Schizosaccharomyces pombe: one gene and its partners. Changing the gene in region 2 together with the main gene of any one other region gives a genetic interaction. Each region holds a gene or a part of one and is shown on either strand. Other genes may lie near its edges. The genes, in order: ubr1, ofd1 and rps23.

Region 1 (8,134 bases), 170 kb from region 2:
ACTCCCATTGTTTAGCCTAAAGTGTTTCCCAACCTCCGGTGTCTGGATTCGCATCCAGTTGTCGAGCAATATAAGAAGGAATAGATCCGTTTAGCCACATCGTTCGTACTGTTTCATCATAACGTTTTTGTGATAGATATTGAGAGCGGCCACGACGCAATCCCAAATCTGTCTCTCCATACGCATCCAAAAATGGAGCTACAGAGAAGCTTCCTACAGGTGGATTGAGGTAGAGAATAGCGCATTTTTTGACAATAAGAAAAATTCCAATGTCAGAAGCGCATTGTTGCATATGAAGATTACATTCTCCAATACCATTAAAGGAACAACAATGACTTTGGAAGCATAAGAGCTTCCCACAAAATAAACATATCGCTGGTTCCATAGGTTCAGTTAAACATTTCGAGCATCGCCTGGCCAATAGTAACTCAAAGACTTTATCCAATTCATACGGTAAAGAAACTAGTTCATAAATTCCAGGGTAATAAGCGCGAGGAAAATCGCATAGAGGACCAGTCTCTGTAAAGAAATTACACCAGTGCTTTATAAGGCTCCATTCTGTGGAAGATGCCGTAAGACAAAGATGATTAGATAATTCAATAACACCTGGAATATGCATTTTTGTTTGTAAACGTGATAATTCTGAATTTTGAAAGTTTAAATTCGGTTGCGTCTCAAATGAAACTCCATAGCGGCAATACCAAAGCAAAGCACATTTTCGAAGGAAGATTAGAGAAAACCTTTCCAATAGTTTATACAGTGTAAACAAAAGATGAGGATTATTTAGATCATCCTCCGTACAACAATCAAAATTGATTAATCCTGCTCCGTCGACACGAAGACTTTTCCAAATTTGGATAACTAAGTGCTCAAACCCCTTTAGCTGCTCATAGTCAAAGGCTTCAAATTCAACTGATTCCATACATTTCAGTAAAGAGTTTCTTTGTGACAAAAGAATCCATAAGTTTCGAACTATATCGGCAGTATAGTATAATTGCGTCAAGTAGTGAAACGATTCGTCACATGATAATAAACCAGAGACACTGGCTTCGGCGAATTCTCGAAATGTATCCTTCACAAGTAACGGCTCAACTCTATCATCAGTAATAGATTTGGTAACCGGTGAATCTAGAGAGGGCAATAGTCGCCCAAATATCCTTTTTTGTTGGCAGAAACTAATAAATTCAAACTCTTGAATTGAACCCCCAATACGCTTCTGTGAATCATGTGCACATAACAAAGTATAAGTTTTGATAGATTCAGATAAAATCCTTAAAAAAACTTGCTGATTTTTTCCAAGATTATGCACCCAAATATCCGCTGGAATACTTGAACATTTTATGTGTCCTCTAGTAGATGCTTCAACTTGGCAAAGGCTGTATGAAAAGAGTTTAACAACATTATGCAATTTACCGTTCACTGGAATAAAATCATCGGAGTATAAAGAAGAATTAAGATCTATTACATCGTCAAGCCTCCGATAAAGCTCAAATATATCATCTGAAATAGCGAGACGTTCATCGGCAGGAACTTCATTATTTACAACACTCTTAAAATGGACATGATCCAATACGCTCGATTGGAATAAGTTATCCGCATTTTCTTCAACGTTATCACTGGAATTATCAGCACCAGTATTGAGGGTATATATATCTTTCAACGAGTCTCGTAAGGTGTGTTGTAATACATCAAGCAGATTTAAATTGTACGACTGTGTGTGCTCAGAAGGGGAGGTTTCTATGTCAAGAAGTTGCTGATTTAAGTCTTTATTAAATGAAAATGTTTTAGAAACCAGCCAATTTTTCAAAGGAGCGGTAAGTACTCCAGCTTCTTGAAAATTAATCTCTTCCTTAGGCCGCCATAAGATTGGAAAAATAGTATTACATAATGCTTTGCATAGAGGGCAAAGGAATTCTTTCATGCTTAAATTATGAGGGTGATTTCTGTAAGGATTGGCTCGAGTTGCAAGTGTGACAGTAGCAATATGATTTTTAAAACAATCGATATGCATGAAATGACCACATCCAGTGGCATGCAATCCACGATCCAGCTGATCAGGGGGAAATCCATTAAAAGAGTCCTTTAACTGATGGAGTTCATTGCCCTTTTTTTCATAATAGTAATTATCATAATCGTAAGCTTCTGTAGAATCTAATACCTTTTTTCGTTTGCCAGCCAATCCAAAAGGTCTTTCTTGAATCTCATGATCCAAGCTGTCAGGAATATCCAACACTTCAGAAACGTAGTTGGCATCATCAGCAGGAAATAGTCTGAGTACCGAGCTCCTAAGAACAAATACCAAAGTACCATAGGGGCGCTTATCTTTCAGTTCTTCCTGACATAGAAGACAAGTATCAATAGGTGGGTCCAAGAATAACTTAGTGCTAACTGAACTGGTTACAGAAAATTCATCCGCTTCGTCCATTTCACAGTCCGATGCTTCAAAAAGAGCATGATTTTCTAAAAACTTATTTTGCTGCATTCGGAACTGTTCCATTATCCGTGCCTGTCGTTCCTTTGCCATGCGCACCTTAGCTAAATGTTGTTCCTGCTGTTCGGCATCCGATAACGACTGAACTATTTTCGAAGAGGATATACTCAAAGTTTCGGCATATACAGGTTCATACAATAACGGAACTTCACTTTTTAAGATTTTCATTATCAAAGAAATCTTTTCTTTGACATACACAAAGTTTCTGTGGTTTTTCATTTGACACAAAACACTGAACAACGTAACATCCGGAGAGTTGCAATATTCCTGTAATCCCTCGACAACTGGAAATCGATTCTCACATATTTTTTTGGAAAAAATAGGTTCAGATCCTTTTTCACTCATTAAAACTAGGAGACATGCATGTAATGCAGTATTAACCAAGCCTTCTAGTTTTCCTTGATCGTATGGATAAATATAAGCGTAGACGATAGTGTGCCATAAAATCCCAACAAAAGAATCGCTTTGTAATATGGGAATTGTAATGTTCGAATGCAATATCGGATGATATTCCTCATATACTACAGATTCCAAATGTTTGGAATGCTGTTTTGAATACCGTCTACGTAAAATATTCTCTGCTTCCTCACGTTGATTTCTAGAGTAATGAATATTGAATGGATCTACATAATCAAAGTATTCATCTTTTAACGTGAAGGAACCACTATCATTGATCCCCTCGGCATTCCGAAAAGTAGCGACTTTCTTGAGAGTGCTTTCAAATTGCTTGTGCTCCAATAAATGCTCACATGTCCTTTTGGTAATCTCGGAATAAGGTAAAGGACGAAAACAAAGGATATGAGCGATTCCATATTCTATTCGTCTTGTAATATCCCAATGGTCGAGGACAGCAGTATTACATACAATGGATATTAAAAGCAGCAAAAACTCCTCCATCATTATCGTGACTTGGGATACATCATAATGTTTATGAGGTACAAAAAACCGACCATACATTTGATCTTCTAATTGAAATCGAGAAATAAAAGAAGGTAAGATAGCATCAGGATCGCCATATGTTAAAGTTAATTGAAGCAACAAAACGTCTAAATCAAAAGTGTATTCATGAAAACTTAGATTTCTATAATGGTGAGCTTGATCACGTAACGTTGTACCATTCCTTATCCAAAGCTTTGCGCGCATTTGACTTAACCAAGCGCATACACGAAGTGGGTGATCCGTAACCGCAAGTAAATCTAGCTGAGTCCATAGTAATTTATAGTTGTCTCGTTCAACGTAAAATGATAAAAGGTACACTAGCAACCAGTGTAAAGGATGATGGAACGATACCGGTTGAAGAGCAATATCATACTCTATTAATTTCGAATTACCTCTTTCATCAACAGTAATTCCTGTAGTCAATGATTCAGTATTGGTCCAAGACTCATTTCTTGCCTTAGGATAAAGAATTAGGGAAATTAGGTAGTTTATAGCATTGGCTAATTTATTCGTGTTGAGCTCCATAAAGACATTTCCAACATGTCTACAGAGTTTAGCAACTTGTAAACTAACGTTCAAAACGTACATCCATGAATCATTTTCCCATTCAACATGCTGCGATACTGCTCGTGTATAGGGGCACATACCTTGAAACAGGTTAAAAAAATCGGCATATTGCTTCAAAAATTTAAGGTCTTCACGAACAATTTCAGCAACACATGGAATGCTTAACATAAATTGAATGTGATGGAAAATGTGAATATACCTACGTGAATGAAAGGCAGCCGAATCTGTTCTTATCATGGCATGCTGATCGACATAGTTCGGCGTATTAAGTTTTTTATAGGTGAAAAAAGTGTACAAAGTTGCATTAATTGTAGTCAAGAAATCATACTCTGTAACCAACAGTTTGGCAACGTCTGCCACGGTAAATATTTGCATTGAAAAAAAAATGACTGAGTGTTCAGGTTCACGGTCCAACAGAAGAAAAAGTTCTGCCAACCTTCTATAAGAAATGGCAATCCTGGCTCCCATAATTTCCTTAAATCCAGGCTGAGTGATAAAGTATCCCAAGTACAACTCCTGTAATTTGTAACGCAAGCTCTTCCAAAGTTTTAAATCGTAAAGAAAAAAATAATCAAATCTTACTCTGGAGGCATACGAAAGGACATCCGGAAGAGAATTAGAAGGATACCAATGTCTAGAATGAATAGAAGACTCGTCAGTTTCTAGCATATGACTAGAAGTGTCAGATGGACCTGACGAGTTAATGTGATCTTCATTCAAAAATATATCAGGACTGTCAATGGCCACAATTTCAGGAAGAGCAAGACTTCTAAGGGAGAGCCTAAAAGTAAGATCAGAATTATGAAGTCCGCAATTCCAAGGTCGAACAAGTTCTTTGCATATAACAGAGCTAAAATAATTTCTTTTCCCACAAATACTGCTTCCTGCTATATCAGCAAGCCATTCTAGTAAAACAGCACAAGATTCTTCTCTAAAAATGTCACGCATAGAACGAATTGAAACAGCTAGATTGATCTGGGCAAGCTTTTGACCAATTTTAAGAAGCTCTTTTATATTAGTCTCAGTAACGATGCAAGCTCTACCGATGTCATTAATAATATTTGCCATTTTCTTTCCAAAAACGTTATTCGGCAATTCTAATGCAGTAGTAATTTGTTCATAAAATTGCTTGAAGGAGTGTTTTTCATCATTCCACAGTACTAACGAATACATATTGCAAGAATCATCAATATCGCCGTATTTATTTTCACTGAGACGCGAAGTTTTCTCATCCTGCAAAATCGATTCCAAGGTGGGCATTTTTTTGAGATTTTCAGGACTACAGGAAAAAACATCCAGTACGAAGTCAAGAACACAATCAATTGTTGTTTGGATACTGTTTTCTAATTTTTCCGGAATTTCGTCTATCATATCGTTGCTAATCGTAGCATCTTCTTCATGTGAATGTATTTTGCAACTCACATCCCCAATCCATGCAGCTGCATTACCACAATCACAACAACCGCCGCTACCGGCACTAACTGTAAACGAAGTTTCATGATCCTTATGACTAGTTGCACGAAAACATTTCACGCACAGCGCTGAATTGCTATCAACACTACACGTTTTGCATCGATAGAATACTTCACCCTTTCGAAATATATGGCCACATTTTGACTCACAGGTTCCATGACGATACTCATCTCCCTCACTGTGTCCTTGAGCACGACGGAGAAGAAAGGAGGCATCGATGGTTGGTCTCTCTGGAAGCAATGTATTCCACAAGGTATGGTCATATCCGAGAAGCGCAGAAAAGACTTCATTCAGAAGGGATTTTTTAGCAGATTCTGACCATAGAAATGAATACATCAATGCATGAGACTGTAAAAATAATGAAAGCCGTCTCCGAATCAATGCGCTTCTAGGCAACGATCTGCTAGACTCGTCTTGTAACATGGCATGCTACAAATAATAACTTTTTAAATAGATAAAATAAAGAATAACATATAGAACGAGAAAGTCCTTTTAGTGTAAATACCGTAATGACAGGACTGTGTTGTTGTGAAAAGTAATTCTTAGGTAGGAATAGTATAAGTACTTCGAAAACCAAACTTGAACTTCCAGCGTGTTAGTAGAGTATATACTAATTTATGGAAACCAATGGAAGTTTTTCAGGGTATGGCTTATTAAATTTTTTATTAAGTTGACTAAAGTTTTTATTTAGAGCACGATTGGTTGATGGCAAATGGATAATTCCAGAGAGCAGGCGAAAAGATGGTAGCGTGAGGCGTGAAAGAGCTGTTAAACCAGGATATACTGCACCTGAAGATATCAAAAGATATAGACCAGGAAGAGGAAACTTCGCTTCCTTAGAGAAGCAAATGAAGAAACTGCAATTGAGTAACGATGCTTCAACTTCTAAATCGATCGATAGGCCTCCAATTTCAGAATTAGAAAAAGAAAAATTAGAAAGACCACTTTCTAACAAGAAAAAGGAGAAGAATGATCATAAAGCGGAGAGTTTAAAGCATGATTATGATAGTGTTGGCGAAAAGCGTATCTCGAAGGATTCTGTTAAACATCTGGATAAAACTTATTCTTCAATAGATTCTAAAAAAGACTTTAAGTATAATTTCCCTAAAACTCAAGCTCCAGAATGGAGAAGAGGCGCGAAACCGCTTTCTAAAACAAGTGAACCTAGTGTCTACTCAGAAAAGATGAGCAAGAGAGAAAATAAGAAATCCATAAATACCGTTGATAAAAAAACTGGATACAAGGAAAAAGAGTAACTGTCCTCTAGTGAACCACAATGATTACAGATTTGACACCCGCTGAGAAGAAACCCAAAAAATAAGCAGGAGTGCTAATGAAAAGCAAAAAAATGGAGAGCAGCTATTTTATCGTCCTTAATTAACAATCATTGAAATAATTTCATCTATTTGCTTCTGTATTCATCAGTGATATGATTTTTGTTGCGAGAACAGCATACAAAGAAGAAAATGGGCAATGATGTTTCTGCTTTATCTTTTGCAATGTGTACTCTTTGGATAATATGTAATTATTAAGGGAAAAAATAATTGCATAATGCTTTGAAAGCAATCCTTTGTTGTATTGCTGGTTAGCAGTAAGAAATGGTAGCTTAACGTTATCAAACATAATTGTGGTTTTTTTGAATGTACTATTTCAACAAATTACTTAAATAGTGATGTGAATTCTTGGAAAGGAAATTTTGTCGCTACAGTTGATTTTAAATTAAAGAAAACTTAAATTCATTAGTACTTCTAGTCTCGTATTAACTATAGAGATTGTATAACTTATTAAAAAGCTTACATATTCGGAAATATGGATGAAATGATTGTTTACAACTGGCTATTGTTTGTTTACCTAGCTAACTATAGTACATATTCGAACTGTTACTTGGGTTACCCTGACGCTGCGTGCCACTTTGTTATTAAAAAGAATAACAAATACTAATTTCGCTTCGCCAAATAACAACGAGCTAAACATCATAAACTGACATGAACTGACATCTAACCAGCATCAGAACAAAGACGATTTCTGAACTACACTTTTCAACATGTTTGAGTCTATAATAGTTGACAGAGCAAAGACAACGTTTTTGGGAGAGCTCAAAAGCTACAATTTTTCGTATGCGAAATCAGTTGCTTTAACAGCGAAATGTTACTAACTTATTGTAGTATTTATGCACAGTGGCTTGGAATTCTCTCAATTTTTCGTATGTAAAGAATTTCAATCGCGTAATTTGGTTATTCTTTTTAATGTTTGTGATATTCTCTTCTTCTTGTATTGATTGCTTTGTACTTTCTGATAGCTGTGAAGAGAGTTTATGAGCATAAAGAGTTAAGGTGTAGCAAGTGAGTGTTCAAAAGTATTTTTGGTTTGATGAGAATGTATATGTCCCTCAATTTTTTTATTTTGCAGACAATCAAGTTTATTGAATCAGATTACTTCTCATTTCACTGCACACAAATTATGGTCCATTGACATTTAACATTAAAAGGCAGATCTGCTAACCTACTACCTTCAGTTTGCATTATCCTAGGTATTGTCAACCTTTTTCACGTTACCCTTGTCGTTCTTTTCTCAGCTTTGACTATCATTGAGGGCGTTCTATTAATTTTTATTGAGCTTCCTTTCCTTTCTCGTATTTGCCCTGTATCAGACAAATTCCAGGCT
Region 2 (4,345 bases):
GACGCATACTTGGCTGGCACAAAAGTTTGTCCTTATTCCATACCTTTGTGGCTTTTGCTAGCCAAACTTGAAGAAAAGCAGTCCGTTATACGCGCGAGAGTTGTGTTTGATAGGGCTAAGGTTAAAAATCCTAAGAATGAATTTTTATGGCTTGAACTTATAAAAATGGAACTCCGGGCGGGGAATATTTCACAAGTTCGTGCAGCCCTTGCTAAGGCCTTGCAGGAATGCCCATCTTCGGGTTTGCTGTGGACGGAGGCTATATGGCTTGAACCTCGCGCACAGCGTAAAACTCGTGCTACAGATGCTTTAAGGAAATGTGAAGGCAATGCACATTTACTTTGCACCATCGCCAGGATGCTGTGGCTGGAAAAAAAAGCAGATAAGGCGCGTAGTTGGTTTTTAAAAGCTGTTAAGGCTGACCAAGATAACGGAGATGTGTGGTGTTGGTTTTATAAGTATAGCTTAGAGGCTGGGAACGAAGACCAACAGAAAGAAGTGCTTACAAGTTTTGAAACCGCTGATCCTCATCATGGTTATTTTTGGCCCAGTATTACTAAAGATATCAAAAATTCTCGGAAAACTCCGCAGGAACTATTACATCTTGCCATAAATGTGTTATGATTACGACAAAAATGATGACTGTAACATATTGGATCTATTATTTATCTTAAAATTAATGTTTAAATTGGTATTCGAATTTACTTTAGATATTTGTAAATTTACGGACTTTTTAATAAAAAAGAACGATTTTTAAACAGGTTCGATTGAACACTTACTTTAAATCAACAAGAATACCAGTTAAGAAAGCAGTAAAAGTGTAAACCAAAACTTTTTATGTAATACACACTATCAACACGAAAGTGGGTTTTAAAAAACACAAGGGAAAAACTTTCAAAAATAAGACAAAAAATTAGAGAAAAAAAAATTAAGTAACCCCTTTTAAGTATATGTTGCCTTTACTCAGCAACGGGATTCCATTGTGAATATATATCCCAGCGACTAGATTCGGCTTGACGCGACACATATTTGACAAATTGAAGGACACCTTCATCTCTATAAACCAAAGAAAAAACATTCCAAGCGGCTGGCAAAGAAAGCAAAATACTGTCATCTTGCTGATCACCCCTATACACAGCAGCATCTACATCAGGATCTTCATCGCCAATCATATAAATATCATATGCACCATTGTCAGTATTCGCAATGCCTGTCCCCGGAGATAAGCAAAGAGTAGCTTCTAGTAAAGCTGTGTCATTCGTAGTAGCAAGCGTAAAATCGGAACCAGGGCGGAATCGTCGACCAACTTGATGAAAGGAACGAAGGGGTAAGCCACTGACAAGTTGGATCCAACGCTGAAACGCAGGAAGGCGCTGCAAATCCATGGGCAAAATAATATCAGGGCCAAACTCTTCATGATCTAAATATAGGTACCTGTGCTTATGAGGAGGAATGGCAGTTTTCCAAGGGAATGACACTTCGGAAGAATGCATAGGAGTGGGCTGCCTTTCAGCATCGATGATTCGCTTAAGGAGAGTGTTTGCAAATTCCTGATTTAAAAACTCTACTAAAACAATAACAGAATCTTGAAAAAAGCGTTTTGATAGTTTTTCAATGCCATCAGGTGTCAGGTAAAGTGGATTAATATAATTGCTTAAAATATCAGTATCCTGTTTGGATAAAGGTTCTGGCTTAACAACTGGGTAGTATGAAAACCGGGGAAGTTCTAAGTCCATTTGTTTCATTGTTAAAGACTGCAAAGTAGAAACGGTATTGTCGCAGTAATTAGCGTCATAACCAGGTTCGCCAGGCTGAGGGTAATGAAACCAGCCGGAAATAGCCATTCGAGGTTTATCTACATAAACTTCTTCAACATCATGGAATGAATGTCCGGGCTTAACTCGGAAGAAAGAGAGTTGATTCCATTGAGGAGGAATGGAGTGACAAAAATCAGCAGCAGGAAAGGATGGTTGTAATGTAGGAAACAACCGGAGTGCACCTCCATATTCGGGTTTCCAACCTTCGTCAGGTTCTACCAAGTATAAGATATAGGAAATGCACCTGGTACCAATAACATCGTCATGATTCATCAAATGGCATCCTTTTGAGTAAACATTAACAGACAAATCTTTTTTGCTAGCCGATAAAGGGCCACAGCCGGTAATCTTTTGAACGTGAGAGCGAAATTCCTCAGAGTAAAGAGCATCACGAACTTGACGCAAATACTTAAGCATGTTTTGCTCTTTCTTGTCTAATCCATCCAAGTTTGCTAGATCACCAGTTTGCCAAACACGGTAAATATCAGTTACTTTCTCTGTAAAATGTATGTTTTCCATAAGTTCCTTACGAACATTTCGAAGAAGTGTATCATTGATCAGAGGACGAATCACAACATGATTATACGGTCCATTTTTGTGATATTCCCGTGAAAGTCTTTCTGCCTCACTGGTATCTAATGCATGAGGCGCAAATCTATCCAGCACTGTTGGTTGTTGAGTATCCCCCATCCCGTTTTTATATTTGAGATTTCACCTGAATATAATGTGCAATTAGGTAAAAATTTTAGTGGTTGGCAAACTCCCAATAGTAGCAATGAAAAGCATCCCACCCATTTTTATGGACTCGGGTCTCACCATAGGTAACATTCTTGAATTATCGTAAGACTTTCTTAGACCTCCTATTACGGAGTGACTTCGGTAACTGTGAATTTGTTTAATGATAGGGAACGCAGGTTAATTCTTCGCTTGCTTAAAACAACGTGCTATCCGTAATTCTGCCTATTGCTATATATTTGGATAGTAACGCTTCGAGCTTAAAGAACAGTATAGTCCCAAAATAAGGCTAAAAGAGTTTGAATCTTAAACAGTAATCTGTTTTCTTTTCCATTTTCTGATTAGTTAGATAACTTTCTTTTGATGCTTTTGAATCAAATAAATGAATTATTCAAGATGTTTGTGATTTAAAGTACTATTTTTTTATTCCTTAAAAAAACCGTAGCTAGTTTTATTACCACAACTCGCATTTCAGGTTTCGGAAATTAATCTCATTTCTTTTTAAAAATTAATATTCAATAAAGGGAACAATTTGTTTCTATACTTCTATTTCAAAACTTATGTCTATGGCCAAATATTGCATTAAATACTTTGCCTGAACAAATTGGGTTATTGACCCCCATATAAGGTTATAGTTATTAGTTGTATAGTAGTCAAGATATTAATAAACCCTAAGTGGGGTTATTATAAAGGTCAAAACGCAATTCAAGCAGTCTATAACTTACAAGGAAAATTGTCCCAAGTGGGGGCCGAAATCAATAACAATAAGAAATCCCAGTGTTTGATTAAATAGTAAAAAAAGAAAAGAAAGTAAATTAGAGAAGTACGATTATTAACTATCCATTTAACTATTTTTTCCTTTTTTTTTTTTTTTTTTTTAAATAATATGCTACTGATCGTTACGCGCAACTTTATGGATAACTTATACTATACTTCATGAACTATTGTGATTTCCTGAGATTACTCGATGGCTTTTATATCTTGGTCATATTTTATAATCAGTTATCCCATAACAAAGATTTAAAGCTGTACGGCCCTTCAATTGTTAATATCTGCATGAAAACTTGTTTACATTTGTACAAAGCGAAATGATGCACTATCAAATATTGTAGAAAATTTTAAAAATTATAATTATGTGCAAATGCTCTTCTTCCAAGATTTTGAAAATTGCTATTAATTCTTCGACTTGCTAATAAGAGCATATTTGCAAATATATAGAATGAGGAACGAAACCGTATCATAACATAATGAATCCAACAATTTTTAATTGTGTACCTTTTATTATAGAATCGTTGTTAGTAATATCCTTATTATTTTTTCCTCTCACTGTTTCAGTCTCAAATGATCCAATGTAACCAAAGAGTACCCTCATGCATGGTGCATCACTTCGACACCAAAAAACTAGAAAAACAATAATTTTTTATTTTTGTGTTACATTTTATTCCCTCCATTTGCTGACTCAGGAGGATTGGCCAACTTTAGAACGCAGGTCTTAATGTCTTTGAGCAAGTCCATTTTAACCGAATCGGGAATACTTTCAGTTGCAGACTGCAAGGCGCTCTCATATAGCTTTTGAAAATCAATTTTAGAATCGGAATTCACAATTCCCCGAGTGTAGTCACGTAATTGAGTTGTCCAACCGCAGGATTCAAGTTTGTATTCTAATTCATTTGCTAGCCTACATTTTTTAAATTGTTGTTTAGTTATAAAATTTTTTTTTTAAAAAAGAAAGCCTATCTTTTATACCTTTCATAATCTCCAGTTTCATATAGCTGCTCAACAATTTTCTCAGT
Region 3 (3,125 bases), on a different chromosome or scaffold from region 2:
TTTGCTTTTCGCATATCAGTTATGTATGCCGTAACAAGAATTTTACCTGCAATACAAAATAACATCATCTTTCTCGAGTACAGTCGAACTTCTAAACAGGGTATGTGGAGTATTCTTTCTCCATGTATACTTATTGCAGTCTATACAAACCTTCTATTACAGCACTTATACCCAACACCCTCTTTCACTTCTCCAGTGAATCAAATATTGTGTTCCGCTGAAATTTGGCGTTGGGTAAGTGCTATTTTAACTCTCCTCTTATACGCCATTGAACTAGCTTATAGCAAAGAGTCTGACACAGGCCAGGCTCTTGCTAGCCATTTCAAACTTGACTAATCTGCAATTGATTTTCCTAAGGTTATTTAATTCACTCGTTTCTCCTTTCATTTTTTACATCTAATTCTAGTCTACACTGTTAATTTTTCATTACTTGATAATTGAATATAAACGGCTTAGTTTACAAGTTTAGAATTTCTGGTTACATCCCTGAATATACTAGGAAGTCACTAAGAGGTATTTGTCCCAAGTATATGTAAGTTAGACCCATAAAAGACAGAAGTATATCCCCTGTCACATGATTCTAATTTACTACGGAAAAACTACTTAGACTACTAAAACTAATATCATTTTACGACGCAGTAATGAGACAAACAACTTTTTATTAAGTTCGTTTAAGCTCTAGGCTTTTCCTTCTTCTCATGGAAAAGAGCAGAAAGACCAACACCGGCAACCTTGACGACCTTGAAACGGACACCGGGAATATCACCCTTAGCCTTGCCCTTACGACCGAAACCAGAAAGAAGAACTTCGTCGTTTTCATCAACGAAGTTGAGACAACCATCGTGGGGAACGAAAGCGGTAACTTTCTTACCATTCTTGATCAACTGAACACGAACACATTTACGAATAGCAGAGTTAGGTTGCTTAGCTTCTACACCAATCTTTTCGACAACGATACCCTTAGCATGAGACGATCCACCGAAAGGTGATGACTTGTAAGCGGTTCCCAATAAGCGCTTCTTGTAATGAGCATCGGCCCAACGCTCCTCACGGCGATGATTGCGAAGCTTACGAGCGGCGTTCAATCCTGCGGGTTTTCCCATTTTGTAGTATAGAGGTTGCGGCGAACTGTGTGTTGGATTTAGGTGAACTTAGCTTTATGTCCAAAACAGTCACAAACCCTACCCTTCTTATATAATATAGTACGCAACGCTTCACTAAGTAAATTGTTGATGCCCATACTTACTAAAATTTTACTACATTACAAAAAAGAAAAAACATCTAAAACAAAAAACATACGTCTTTTTGATTATTTTGGAAAAAGGAGTTGCAAGTACTTTGCAAAAGGTTTGGTGTGTAATATTTAAGCTCAATTGGTATTTATTTGTTTCGTACTTGGAATACTTCCAAGATATTTAGTCAAAGTTTTGTGAGATTTAAAAAAAAAAAAAGATTTGATATGACTGAACTTATAAATTCCGAGCCAACACTCTTTTTGTTCCCGAATAAAGAGGATTCAAAGCAATTGGTTGAAAAAGCTATTGAGGTTTTCTCAAATATAAAAATCCCATCTACAAGTCCCATCCAAACAATTGTCACAAAAGGATTAGATAATTGGCAAATATATAACCAACTAGCATTAGCTGCCAAGTATGCATTAGATGATCTCCCTCAAGTTGATGTTGAAAACGAAGACGAAGAAGAAGATAGCATTACTTCTTTCCAGGATGAGGATGATGAAACAAGTCATCAGGAACTCTCTGACAATAGTGAAATGAACAATCGGGATGATGCTGATGATGAATTTTTAGGGTTCTCTGGTCCAGAAAATCTAGAAGATGTCGACGAAAGTTCTGCCGAAGATGTTTCAGGAGATGAAGCTGAAATTATGAATGAAGAAGGACAACAAATCGAACAGAAAAAAGACGCATTTGGACTTAATGATGGTTTTTTTGATATTGATAATTTTAACAAGCAAACCTTAGCTTTAGAAGAGGAAGCAGTCGAAGAGGGTGTCCTCGGCGATGAAGATGACGGTATTGACTTGTTAATGGATCCCGATGAGAATATGGAAGACTCTGAAGATGAATCAAATGGTCCTCAGGCTGACTCCATTATGTACGAAGATTTTTTTGGTCCAAAAACAGCGGCCGGTCGCCGTGAACTAAAAAAGAAAAAGGCCGAATCCAAAAGAAAAAGAACAAGTAAACCGGATTTCAAAAATGATGTGCAACAAAATGTTATTGAAGAAAATAATGAGAGCTCTGACAATGAGTATGCTACCTTTGATCGAGTGAAGAAAGATTTATTTGCTAGTGACGAAGAAGACGATGTTTCAGCTGATCAATTATCTTCTTATGAGCGCGATAAAGCCCGTTTGACTCAGCAAATTCGTGAGCTCGAGGCTGAAAACGTTGCCAAGAAGTCCTGGACCATGATGGGGGAGGCAACGTCTAAAGGACGACCTTCTAATTCACTGTTAGACGTTGATTTGGAATTTGAAACTGGTGCTAAACCTGTCCCTGTACAAACGGAAGAGACTACTGAGACATTAGAAGATTTAATTAAAAACCGAATTATTTCCAAAACATTTGATGATGTACCTAAACGCGCGCCAGTTGCTGTTACTGAATTTCGACCAAGCGAATTATTCGAGTTAAACGAAAATAAGTCTCAGCGTTCTTTAGCAGAAGAATATGAAGAAGAATTCCTTAAAAAGAGCAACGCCGACACATATAAGAGTGAAGCTGATAAAAAGAAAGAAAAAGAACATGAAGAAATCAAGGCATTGTTTTCGGAAGTCAGCCGCACTTTAGATTCTCTTGCTTCTTGGCATTATGTTCCCCCTCCTCCTGAGTCTACTGTTGAAATTGTTTCTAATGCACCCACTTTAGCAATGGAGGACGTTCAGCCAACTGCTGCCTCTGACACTATGGCATTGGCTCCTCAAGAAGTTTATAAACCGTCTAATGAGAATCGTGAAGGTGAAACTATTACTCGGTCAGGTATCGCCATTTCATCGACTGAAATGGACCACCAACAAAAGCAAGCACGCCGCAGGCGGGTGCGTAGAAAACATGCTGAGAAACGTAAGCAAATGGCTGAGAAAAGAAGGAATTCCGGTA

Evidence for each region.
Region 1: of ofd1 (region 2) and ubr1, changing one enhances a phenotype caused by changing the other (phenotypic enhancement), as found in Schizosaccharomyces pombe (one study listed by BioGRID).
Region 3: of ofd1 (region 2) and rps23, changing one suppresses a phenotype caused by changing the other (phenotypic suppression), as found in Schizosaccharomyces pombe (one study listed by BioGRID).

Annotation. Positions count from the first base shown.
Region 1 is NC_003423.3:2,811,108-2,819,241, reverse strand, and holds ubr1 (N-end-recognizing protein, UBR ubiquitin-protein ligase E3 Ubr1), read right to left. Parts: upstream 6,001-8,134; 5' UTR 5,894-6,000; coding exon 17-5,893; downstream 1-16. Other genes in the region: protein mni1, read left to right, coding at 6,088-6,113, 6,162-6,726; SPOM_SPBC32F12.12C (golgi membrane protein involved in vesicle-mediated transport), read left to right, coding at 7,515-7,585, 7,636-7,673, 7,986-8,134. UniProt on the Schizosaccharomyces pombe protein: Ubiquitin ligase protein which is a component of the N-end rule pathway. Recognizes and binds to proteins bearing specific N-terminal residues that are destabilizing according to the N-end rule, leading to their ubiquitination and subsequent degradation.
Region 2 is NC_003423.3:2,644,087-2,648,431, forward strand, and holds ofd1 (2-oxoglutarate and Fe(2+) dioxygenase domain-containing protein 1), read right to left. Parts: upstream 2,552-4,345; 5' UTR 2,508-2,551; coding exon 960-2,507; 3' UTR 640-959; downstream 1-639. Other genes in the region: U4/U6 x U5 tri-snRNP complex subunit Prp1, read left to right, coding at 1-624; SAGA complex deubiquitinating submodule subunit, TREX complex subunit Sus1, read right to left, coding at 3,984-4,230, 4,299-4,345.
Region 3 is NC_003424.3:2,134,686-2,137,810, forward strand, and holds rps23 (40S ribosomal protein uS12), read right to left. Parts: upstream 1,126-3,125; 5' UTR 1,104-1,125; coding exon 672-1,103; 3' UTR 640-671; downstream 1-639. Other genes in the region: family protein ICE2, read left to right, coding at 1-336; mpp10 (U3 snoRNP-associated protein Mpp1), read left to right, coding at 1,460-3,125.